2 linked regions of the Drosophila melanogaster genome follow. The protein of the gene in region 1 purifies or fractionates together with the protein of each later gene. This does not show direct contact. Each region holds a gene or a part of one and is shown in the gene's direction. Other genes may lie near its edges.

What was found. The genes of interacting proteins can lie anywhere in the genome.
Region 2: the proteins of Nfs1 (region 1) and CCT4 purify together in Drosophila melanogaster (affinity purification with mass spectrometry, with the first as the bait; one large-scale study listed by BioGRID). This does not show direct contact.

The regions. Positions count from the first base shown.
Region 1 is NT_033779.5:11,997,017-12,002,791, forward strand, and holds Nfs1 (Nfs1 cysteine desulfurase), read left to right. Parts: upstream 1-2,637; 5' UTR 2,638-2,708; coding exon 2,709-2,838; intron 2,839-2,896; coding exon 2,897-4,155; 3' UTR 4,156-4,228; downstream 4,229-5,775. Other genes in the region: Ada1-1 (transcriptional adaptor 1-1), read left to right, coding at 1-687, 752-878; Hacd1 (3-hydroxyacyl-CoA dehydratase 1), read right to left, coding at 4,398-5,135. UniProt on the Drosophila melanogaster protein: Catalyzes the removal of elemental sulfur from cysteine to produce alanine. It supplies the inorganic sulfur for iron-sulfur (Fe-S) clusters.
Region 2 is NT_033779.5:12,689,836-12,694,769, reverse strand, and holds CCT4 (chaperonin containing TCP1 subunit 4), read left to right. Parts: upstream 1-1,835; 5' UTR 1,836-1,947; coding exon 1,948-2,053; intron 2,054-2,552; coding exon 2,553-3,205; intron 3,206-3,267; coding exon 3,268-3,407; intron 3,408-3,466; coding exon 3,467-4,151; intron 4,152-4,214; coding exon 4,215-4,232; 3' UTR 4,233-4,434; downstream 4,435-4,934. Other genes in the region: IFT43 (intraflagellar transport 43), read left to right, coding at 1-196, 253-276, 344-466, 522-783; CG6153 (uncharacterized protein), read right to left, coding at 926-1,050, 1,114-1,304, 1,368-1,687.

The DNA.
Region 1 (5,775 bases):
GGAGGAATTCGATGCGGAGTCGCGGAAAATCCTAACACCTGACAAACTGCACCTGCACAATCAGTTCCTGCTCGCCCTGCTCAACAAGATCGACGCCTTTGCTCCCCTGGAGAATCCTCCGGCCGTCCAGACCAGCAGCAGTAGTGGCAACCGAAGCAAACGGCGCAAAAGAAGTTGCCGCACCTTCGCCGAACGCCTTAATTTTGAGCTCAGCGACGTCCTGGACTTTGTAGCCGAGGACAACATGCAAATCATTCGTCCGCCAACCACGATCGGTATTCCGTCGGACCAGCAACAGCAACAGCTTCAGTCGCAGCGGTACTGCGCGCAGGAACTTTTCCTGCCCGACGCGGGATTCATTATGGGACGATTTCTGATCGGTGCCTGGGAAATCGGACTTGTCTCCGTGGACGACAATGTCGCCGAGTACGTTGCCATGGCCGTGCAAGTTCTGCTCAAGGATCTACTATCGGCAATCATCAAGAAACGAAAGCACTACAAGACCAGCGGCGAGGGAAACTTTTACTACGATGTAGGTGCTCCGTTGCGTGATCCTTCGCTGCGCAACACCGTCACCCGGCAGAAGGTCGACGACACGCCGCTGGAACTGGACAAGGAACTGAATACGGCCAACTTTATGCGGCGACAGAACGACGATGTGACCTTCCTCTCCGCCTGCGAAGAAGTGTAAGCTCCTGAATAATAATGAGATTTTCATGTGAAACACAAACTTAGGTTTTGTTTCTTTCAGCCAACCCACCGAACGCACAGTAATCACCCTCAAGGACTGCCAACTGGCCTTACGGGATCGCAACCTGATAGGCTCGCATGCCGTCTACTCCATAAACATGGAACGACTCAATATGATGATGCATTAGCTTATAAGTTCTAATTATTTTATTATATCAGCTTCTGTAAAAATATATACATTATACGCTAGTGTACCATTAAGTGTTTGGTTCAGCAAAGATTCCGTGGAGGCGGTTTGAATGGCAAGGCACCTGGTAGAAATTGATCCGCCTTGAATGCTTCGATTTCCTGCTCGTTGAGATCCTCCATGCGACTGTAAACTGAGGACTGGATTTCGTTGGTCGGTTGAGCTTGCTGCTGCTGCTGCTGCTGCATCATTTGCTGTTGCTGTTGCATTTGAAATTGTTGTTGCTGCTGCATTTGTTGCTATTGCATCTGCTGCTGCTGATGCATTTGTTGCTGTTGCATCTGTTGCTGCTGCTGCATCTGTTGCTGCTGCTGCATCTGTTGTTGATTAGGGAATGCAGATGCTGCTGCTTGAGCAAATAATCCGGAGGCAGCTGCCTGCTGCTGCTGTTGTAGTTGCTGAGAAGCCTGAGTAAACATTCCGCCCATATTTTGGCTTGCGGCTTGGCCAAAGATTCCCGTCGACTGCGGTTGCTGCTGCTGCTGTTGGAAACCACCGAAAGGATTAGGATTCACTGGCTGAGCTTGCACCTGAACCTGCGCCTGGGCGAAAATGTTGCCCCCTTGGAAAGCTTGTGCAGCAGGCTGCAGCTGTTGCTGCTGTGGCTGTCCAAAGACACTTTGTGCACCTGTTGCCGCAGCTCCTACACCAAAAATGCTATTCCTTGCATTGGCATTGCTAATCGTTCCGCCGAAAATGCTATTGGTGTTGCTGGCTTGGCTTGTGGCATTCCCAAATATATTTCCCGCACTCAGCGTGGGCTTTCCAAAAATGGATGCAGATGTATTGGCGGCAGCCGGAGCTGCTGCAGCGAAGGGATTACTGGACTGCTGAGGGGCAGCCGACACAGTGCCGCCCTCCGGCGTCTCGTGGATCTTGATCATCATTTCCAGGACCTGCGGCGACATCTGAAGCATGGTCTTCATCTTGTTGTTAGCCTCTAGGACCTCACGGTTAAACTGTTGGCTGAACTGTTCGAATTGGTTTTGTCGTTTGGCCTCGTAACACATGAACCGCACCTCCTCGAAGGATTGGTCCTGAATAAAGTTGGGGAAATTCGCTTTGTCCTTAAAGGGTCCGTAGGCGGACAAAGGCCACATCTTGCCATTGAGGCTGGATTCCATGTCGGCTTTGAGATATTGCCTAAAATAATTAAGTTATTAGTTCATCTGCATAGTTTTAATATCAATGTACTCACTTAACATCGAAATGCTCGTTGTTGCACTTTGCGCCATAGCGGCAGGAGCCTTGTTGAAAGAACCGGCAGACAACCATATTTAAATTTGATTTTAATTTTTGCCTATTTCCTATATTTATTATTTCAAAACTGCTTCAACTTTTGTACTTTTGTTTATAATTGTCTTACTTTGCGTATTGAGTATTCTTTGAGTATTTTATGGCTCACTGAGAAAAATATACCGTGCCTATGCGCGCAATTTCGTGAATTCGTAACTTAAGTTCGCTGAATGATTAAGATAATTTTGTAAGCAAACATATTTAAGATGAAAACTGGTTTTTGAAAATATAGTTCCTTGTAAATTATACATTAAGTGCGAATATATCTGAAAAATATTGGTTTCTTGCACAGATGCTATTCATTTTTCATATGTTCAAAGAAATTCAGAAACTTGCTTCTGCATAATCGAATCAGATAATTTTAAAGTGAATTCCGGAGTCCTTTGGTATATCTCGTGCCGCCGAATACGGTCCCACTGATTGTGAAATCCGTGATAACGAATTTTAACACCAGAATTTCTAGGATTCCATCAGAATGCAAAAAGTGCTGGGACGCATCCAGGCGCAGGTCCTCCGCTCCCGGGCGACGAATGCATTAGCCAATGTGGTTAGACACGAGGCCACCTCCTCCAGGACAGCGGCTAAACCAGCCGCCACATCCAAAGGTAAGCGGATCCTCCAAGATGCACAGTTACCGCTTACCAAAATCGTATTCGTTCGTAGAATTCCGGGAGAGACAGGTGCGATTCAACATAAAGAACGAACAGACCGAGGGTAGACCACTTTACCTGGATGCCCAGGCCACCACTCCAATGGACCCACGTGTATTGGACGCTATGCTCCCCTATCTGACCAATTTCTACGGAAATCCCCACTCCCGTACCCACGCCTACGGTTGGGAAACAGAGTCCGCTGTAGAAAAGGCCCGCGAGCAGGTGGCCACCCTGATTGGCGCCGATCCCAAGGAGATCATCTTCACATCCGGCGCCACCGAGTCGAATAATATCGCAGTAAAGGGTGTTGCCCGTTTCTACGGCACTAAGAAGCGACACGTGATCACCACCCAGACGGAGCACAAGTGCGTGCTGGACTCTTGTCGTGCTTTAGAGAACGAGGGCTTTAAAGTCACGTACCTGCCAGTGCTGGCCAACGGACTCATCGACCTCCAGCAACTGGAGGAAACCATCACATCGGAGACCTCGCTGGTGTCCATTATGACGGTGAATAACGAAATCGGCGTACGGCAACCCGTCGATGAGATTGGCAAACTGTGCCGGTCTCGCCGAGTATTCTTTCACACGGATGCCGCTCAGGCGGTGGGAAAGGTCCCGCTGGACGTTAACGCCATGAACATTGACCTGATGTCTATATCCGGCCACAAAATCTACGGCCCAAAGGGTGTAGGCGCCCTGTATGTCCGACGAAGGCCGAGGGTTCGCCTCGAGCCCATCCAAAGTGGCGGCGGCCAGGAGCGTGGCCTAAGGAGCGGAACGGTTCCAGCCCCGCTCGCCGTGGGATTGGGAGCTGCTGCGGAACTTTCTTTGCGTGAGATGGACTACGACAAGAAATGGGTGGACTTTCTATCCAATCGCCTGCTGGACAGGATTTCAAGTGCCTTGCCGCATGTCATCAGGAATGGTGATGCCAAAGCCACATACAATGGTTGCCTGAATTTGTCGTTTGCCTATGTCGAGGGCGAGTCACTACTGATGGCTCTTAAGGACGTGGCCCTGAGCAGTGGGTCCGCCTGCACCTCCGCCTCCCTGGAGCCCTCCTATGTTCTGCGTGCCATCGGCACCGACGAGGATCTTGCCCACAGCTCCATACGCTTTGGCATCGGGCGCTTTACCACCGTCGAGGAGGTGGACTACACCGCCGATAAGTGCATCAAGCATGTGGAGCGACTGCGCGAGATGTCGCCGCTGTGGGAGATGGTCCAAGAGGGCATCGACCTAAAGACCATCCAATGGTCGCAGCATTAATGTACTAATATTTAAGCCGTTACTGTTACACCACACTTTGAAAGCGAAGGGAAAATAAATTTGTTGGAAGAGTATCTAGGTTTATTTGTACACAAAACCACTTATAACTAAGCTTAGTCCGAACGAATGTGCTTGTGTAAGAGGTGAGGCAAGAGAGACCCCAAAAAGCGAAAACGGCTCAAAGTGCGACGGCCAATGATATGCAAATGATGCAATAATTTGCATTCGCCGCTGGTCAAGGTTCAGTTGGCCTTCTTCTGGGGTGAGCCGCTGGATCCACCGCCCAGGATCTTACGGCGCTGGGCGAACATGTGCAAGTACAACTGCGGGAAGATGGGGATGTAGCCGAGCATGACGATCCACAGGAATCCAAAATACGAGAAGGTGGCGTTCCACTTGTTGGGCATCACCACACTCCACACGCTGTTCTCACGGGCATAGCTCTGGGCCCACCAGAAGCACAGCAGCTCCCCAGTCACGCCGATGGGATACAGGACAATGAATGTGGTGTAGCGCAGGAACACCACAAAATGCGGCACCACCTTGACGATGTTCAGAGCGTAATATCCATATCGGATGATCTCAGTGATGGCCCAGGCCAGCAGGGCGATGGGCAGACCGGGTGAAACCTTTCCAGTAGGCGTGGCCATCACCACGCCGACGACCACCATCATGCGGCTGAACACCTGGAAGCCAGTGACCACCGGGTTCGACTTGACCAATCCAAAAGAAGCATTGAGTATCTCCACGAACGCGGCATTCTGGAAGATGATCACGGCCAGCCGAGTATACTCCCACAACGTCACCTGGGCACGGAACTCCGGACCCTGCAATATGTAGTAGTTGACCAGCTGCCACAGGATGTAGCTCCATCCGACCACCTGGCCGGCGTTGTACGCAAACAGGTACAATTTAGTGACCGCCGACGGCTCCTTGGAAGCGCCTGGTTTGCTGGACTTGGACACTGCCTTTGCTGACATGTTGGAGCGGAGATGTGTGAACTTTCACCTTGCCGATCGCCGCTGGTTAACTAATCAGTCGTCACAGTCTTATCGCCCTGTAGCGCGATAATTCCGAAGTCGCTTTCACCTGATTGGGTCAGTATGACCGCACGGCGACCACACAAAAAATACCAAAAAAAAGGGCTAAGAAATATATATAACTATTAAATACCCTTCCATATAATATCTTTTATAAATAAAAACGCTTTGATATCGAAAATTGTTCATTTAATCATTTGTAAATTAATAATCATTTAATTAAAATTTCTTGATATAAAATTTCATTCGCCTTTATTTTCTCTGAATTTTGTTTTTTGCTATTCACAATTTTTCCAACGAGTATAAATAAAAGATGAACTTCATTCTTTCAAAGTCAACGGGTACAAAGTGCATAGCCTTATAACCTTTCCTCTATTCACAGATCGCAAATCTAAGTTAACAATGCCACAACCATTAGGCATGCTTAGCAATTAAGTCGTTTTTATGTGCAAAGTTATTTCACTTAAGTTAAGTTAAGTCTCAAAACGTTAAAATTCTTTGAAAACTATGATTTTAAATCCTATCAACTTACTTTAAAGCTGAATTACCGTTTCTTATGTTAGTACAAATTAAAGTAAAT
Region 2 (4,934 bases), 690 kb from region 1:
AGGAGGAGGATGTCCAGGCGGCTGGGGGCTCCAAGGACATTTCCATCGACATTACGCTGAATGTCCAGGCGGGCACCCCACCGACCACCTCGGACACGGCCACCTCGTCCACATACAACAATGAATTCGAGTCACATCGACCACCCATTCGTCGCATTTCAGGTGGCTGGGCGGATTCTGGACTCAAAGGATTAAAGTGGGTATGATTAGGCTCGAATTAGGCACATTACTGATTGCTCTATATCTTTTTAGGTCCAAGAAAAACTCCTTTGATGAGTGAGTACAAGTTTATCACAATAACTTCACTTTCCACCGACTGTTATAATGATAAAATTCATTTTAGTGAGCGCTTTAAACAAACAAAGTCGGCTACAAATTCCATACCAACGGATGACATTCCCGTCATCCCAGACATGGATGATGTCAAGGACGAAATCATGCTCAATGAGATTGTAGAACCGCCAACGTAAGCAGAAGCTGCTATATTTCTCTTCACTACGATAATAAGTTGTAATTTGTAGTATTGGCACCTCACGATCTGCTGTTTTGAAGGAGGCCAATTCCGATTTGCTTTCCCAGTACGCCTTTTCAGCTGTGGATGGCTTTGATCTCTCAATCCTCACCGATTGCCTGGTTCCACAGGAGAGCCTCAACGAGAAGGACGATCTCTGGCAGTGGGACAAGCTGTTCACCGAGGTCACGGCTGAAATCCATTCGGATAAAGTGCCCAATATGGGCATGAAAATAGGACCCGATGTGATTCCACCCACACAATATACTTAGTATGATTTAGCCCACAATATCTGTGCAATACAAATGCTCAATAAGTTAAGCGAATACAAAAACATTTCTTGCCTTAAATGATCACAAAATATATACACTACAGAGATACTCAATTAAATTGTAAATTTTAATCTCTATAACCCTATTGGATGGCTCTGCCGACTCCATCGAAAGCCTTTTCCTTGTGATCCGCTGCATTGGCACGGGATTCGTAGTTGCATATGGTTACGCCATGGTAATGAGCTTCTGTGAACTCTCCTCGAAGACCTTTGAATAGTGACTTGGTTTTAGTTGGGAACACAGATAAAACATAGATTGTTGTGAGCTTACCTATATAGTAAATGCGTGTTATGTCTTCGCCAAAATTGCTGGGAAAGTAGAGGGAGAGATGGTGCACGGAGGAGAAGGTGACCACTTTGGGTGAGTACTCGATTTCTCCGCGGGCATCGCGGGTCAGCTGGAACTCCTGGTCGGGCTTTGCTCTGGCATCATCAAAGGTCATCCTGGGTCGGTTCTTGAAGCTGAAAAATAAGATATATGATGAATATAGTAATATTAAAGCAGCCTTGACTTTTGTTCCTTACATTTTGACCATGTTTGGATGGGAGTCATCATTGGCCCCACTTATGATGATGCCCTTGAGCTTGATGTTGCCGGTGAAGGGAATGTTGAAGAGGAGCTCTTCATCCGCATCGCTCTCCACGTACTTGGACAGATCCTGGCGCTTCTCGTACGGCTTAAAGACACTTTTTCCCTGGCCATCCGTCTCCTCGTTCAGGCACTCCACATTGTCCAGATCGATTTTGGTGTACAAGCTGTACTCGATGCCCATTTCTAGGGCGTGGTCCACGTCCGAGGCCTCGTGGCTGCAGCCGCCGTGATCGTGAGAGTGTCCGTGCGGCATTATTTTTATTTTAAATTCAAAAATCGAACAAAAATTCAATGTAAATAAAGCAGCCGAGTCACAACGCAAAATACGGTCACACCAATTTGCCATTCACAAGGGATGATGTTATCGATGCCGATAAGTTGGCGGTATATTTGAGCTCAGCGAGTGCGGCCACACTTTCCTTAACATTTCGCAGCAACGTGTTCTGTGTAAATCGCTGTGAATTTATTGTAGAATAACTGTGTTTTGTTAAAAAACTATAACTTAACCCTACAATGGCGCCCAAGGCAGCAGCTGTCAACATCAAGCCAACGGCCAAGGCCTTCAAGGACAAGTCGAAGCCCACCGATGTGCGTTTGTCCAACATCCAGGCGGCCAAAGGTGAGAAAAAGCGAGGAAATTAACAAAATTAAACACATTTTTGTATCAAAATGTTGGCGTATGTGCTATTTATTGAGCTAAGAACCGAGGTGACTGAATTCCGAGCAGTGGTGCATCAGAATTTCCGGCCAAATGGCCTATTGAAAAAGCAGTTGGATGCCGGCTGTCTGGAAACTTCTTGGGCGGAAGAAGAAGAAGAGCGCGCATTACTCATGTGATGAATTGAAACAACCTAAAAATTGAGGATTTTTAATACTCTATTCCCAATACCCTTTTATCCGCTACAAGGATTTTATTGTTTATCTCTTAAGATAAGTTACAGTAGATTTTTTGAATTAACACATAAAACACCATATGTCTTTTTGTATGTATGTATGTAAATTAGTCATGCTGCTGTGTAAAACTAACCACACGAATTCCACTTATCTGAGTTTCTCATTAAGTTTTAACGAAATATTAAAATACATTTATAACCTATTGAAATAATTCTGTTTTCCAGCCGTTTCCGATGCTATCCGCACCAGTTTGGGCCCCCGCGGCATGGACAAGATGATCCAGGCCGGCAACGGCGAGGTGTCCATCACCAACGATGGCGCCACCATCCTGAAGCAGATGAATGTACTGCACCCGGCTGCCAAGATGCTGGTGGAGCTGTCGCGTGCCCAGGATGTGGCCGCTGGTGACGGCACCACCTCCGTGGTTGTCATTGCCGGAGCTCTGCTTGAGGCGTGCGAGAAGTTGCTGCAGAAGGGTCTGCATCCCACGGCCATTTCGGACTCGTTCCAGCGCTGCTCGAACAAGGCCGTCGAGATTCTTAAACAGATGTCCACTCCCATCGAGCTGGACGACCGCGAGACGCTGATCAAGAGCGCCTCCACCTCGTTGAACTCCAAGGTGGTGTCGCAGCAGAGCAGCCTGCTGGCCCCCATTGCCGTGGATGCCGTGCTGAAGGTTACGGATCCCGGCAAGGAAACCTCTGTGGATCTCAAGAACATCAAGGTCATCTCCAGCCTGGGTGGCACTGTTGAGGACACCGAGCTGGTCGATGGATTGGTCTTCACCTGCCGCTCTGCCGGATCCAACGCTCCCAAGCGCATTGAGAAGGCCAAGATCGGTCTTATCCAGTTCTGCATTTCGGCCCCCAAGACCGATGTGAGTACATCGCTATGATCCTAACAATTTATTGTCTTTTATAATTTATGCCGAAATTACAGATGGATCACAATGTGATTGTATCGGATTACGCTGCCATGGATCGTGTGCTCAAGGAGGAGCGTTCATACATCCTGAACATTGTCAAGCAGATCAAGAAGTCAGGATGCAATGTTCTTCTCGTTCAGAAGTCTATCTTGCGGTAGGTTTAGCTTACTTGTTATTTGTCCACTTTGTGCTGATAGTTCTCCACTTATCTAGCGATGCTGTCTCTGATCTGGCTCAGCATTTCCTGGACAAGATCAAGTGCATGGTCGTTAAGGATGTGGAGCGCGAGGATATTGAGTTCGTGTGCAAGACCCTGCACTGCCGACCGATCGCTTCGCTGGATCACTTCACAGCCGAGAACCTTTCCAGTGCCGATCTGGTCGAGGAGGTGGCCAGTGGTACCAACAAGTTTGTGAAGATCACCGGCATTCAGAACATGGGACGCACTGTCTCGATCATCTGCCGCGGATCCAACAAGCTGGTGCTCGAGGAGGCTGCTCGCTCCCTGCACGATGCCCTCTGTGTCGTCCGTTGCCTGGTGAAGCTGCGCGCCCAGATTGTCGGCGGTGGTGCGCCCGAGATTGAGATGGCCCTGCAGCTAGCCGCATTGGCACAAACCGTGGAGGGTGTGGATGCGTATTGCTTCCGTGCATTTGCCGATGCTTTGGAGGTGATTCCCTCCACTCTGGCTGAGAACGCCGGTTTGAATCCCATTGCCACGGTCACGGAGCTACGCAACCGCCACGCTCAGGGTGAGAAGAACGCCGGTATTAATGTGCGCAAGGGCGCCATCACAGACATTTTCGCGGAGAACGTTGTGCAGCCGCTGCTGGTCAGTATTTCGTCGATCACCCTGGCCACGGAGACGATTCGATCGATCTTGAAGATCGACGATATTGTAAGTGTTATACAAATGAATGAAATGATTTAAATTTAAATGAATGTTTTTATTTATTCACAGGTCAACACCTTCAGTTAAGCAGTGTAATCCGCATTCTTCGGTCGTCTGCCTCTGATCAAGATCAATCTTCACGCAAATTCATCTAAAGTCTCACATCTTATGTCCATTATGCGGTTGCGCATTAAATTTTGAATAAAATTCACATATACACTACGCCTCACCAGCTTAACATGTATTTAAAAAATAAAACTATATGATTAAATACTTCGCTAACACAACCTACATGAAAACTTGAATTTAATTACTGATATGTGCTCTTGTTCTGAGGTTAAATAGTTCTATAAAATTAGTTAATCACAAATTGGAGTAAGGAAAAATGTTTAGGAAGTTCGTACTCATTATATAAAGACTTATATATTCCTTAAGATTAAAAGCTAATACCTTTTGCGGTTAAGCTTATTTGTAATACATATATATTTCCTTCTTAAATGGAATTTCTAAGATTTCATTACAGCGTAAAAGTCTATCAACTAACCGAAACCTTATCTAGTGAGCGAGTTCATTTTTCTTGTTCTTAGCCAACGCCTTGGGTTTCAAAGGGATGGCTCACCCCCAACCATTTCGCACCCCCGCCCCAATCATTGTATTCCGTTTAGGTTTTGGGGATCCTTTTTGTCCTGGGCGTGTAAATAAAAATCACTTGATGCGATTTTTATGATGTGCGTTAAATGATTAAACCACTTGAACTGGTTTCAAATTGTCAAAAAGGGAAGACTTAGG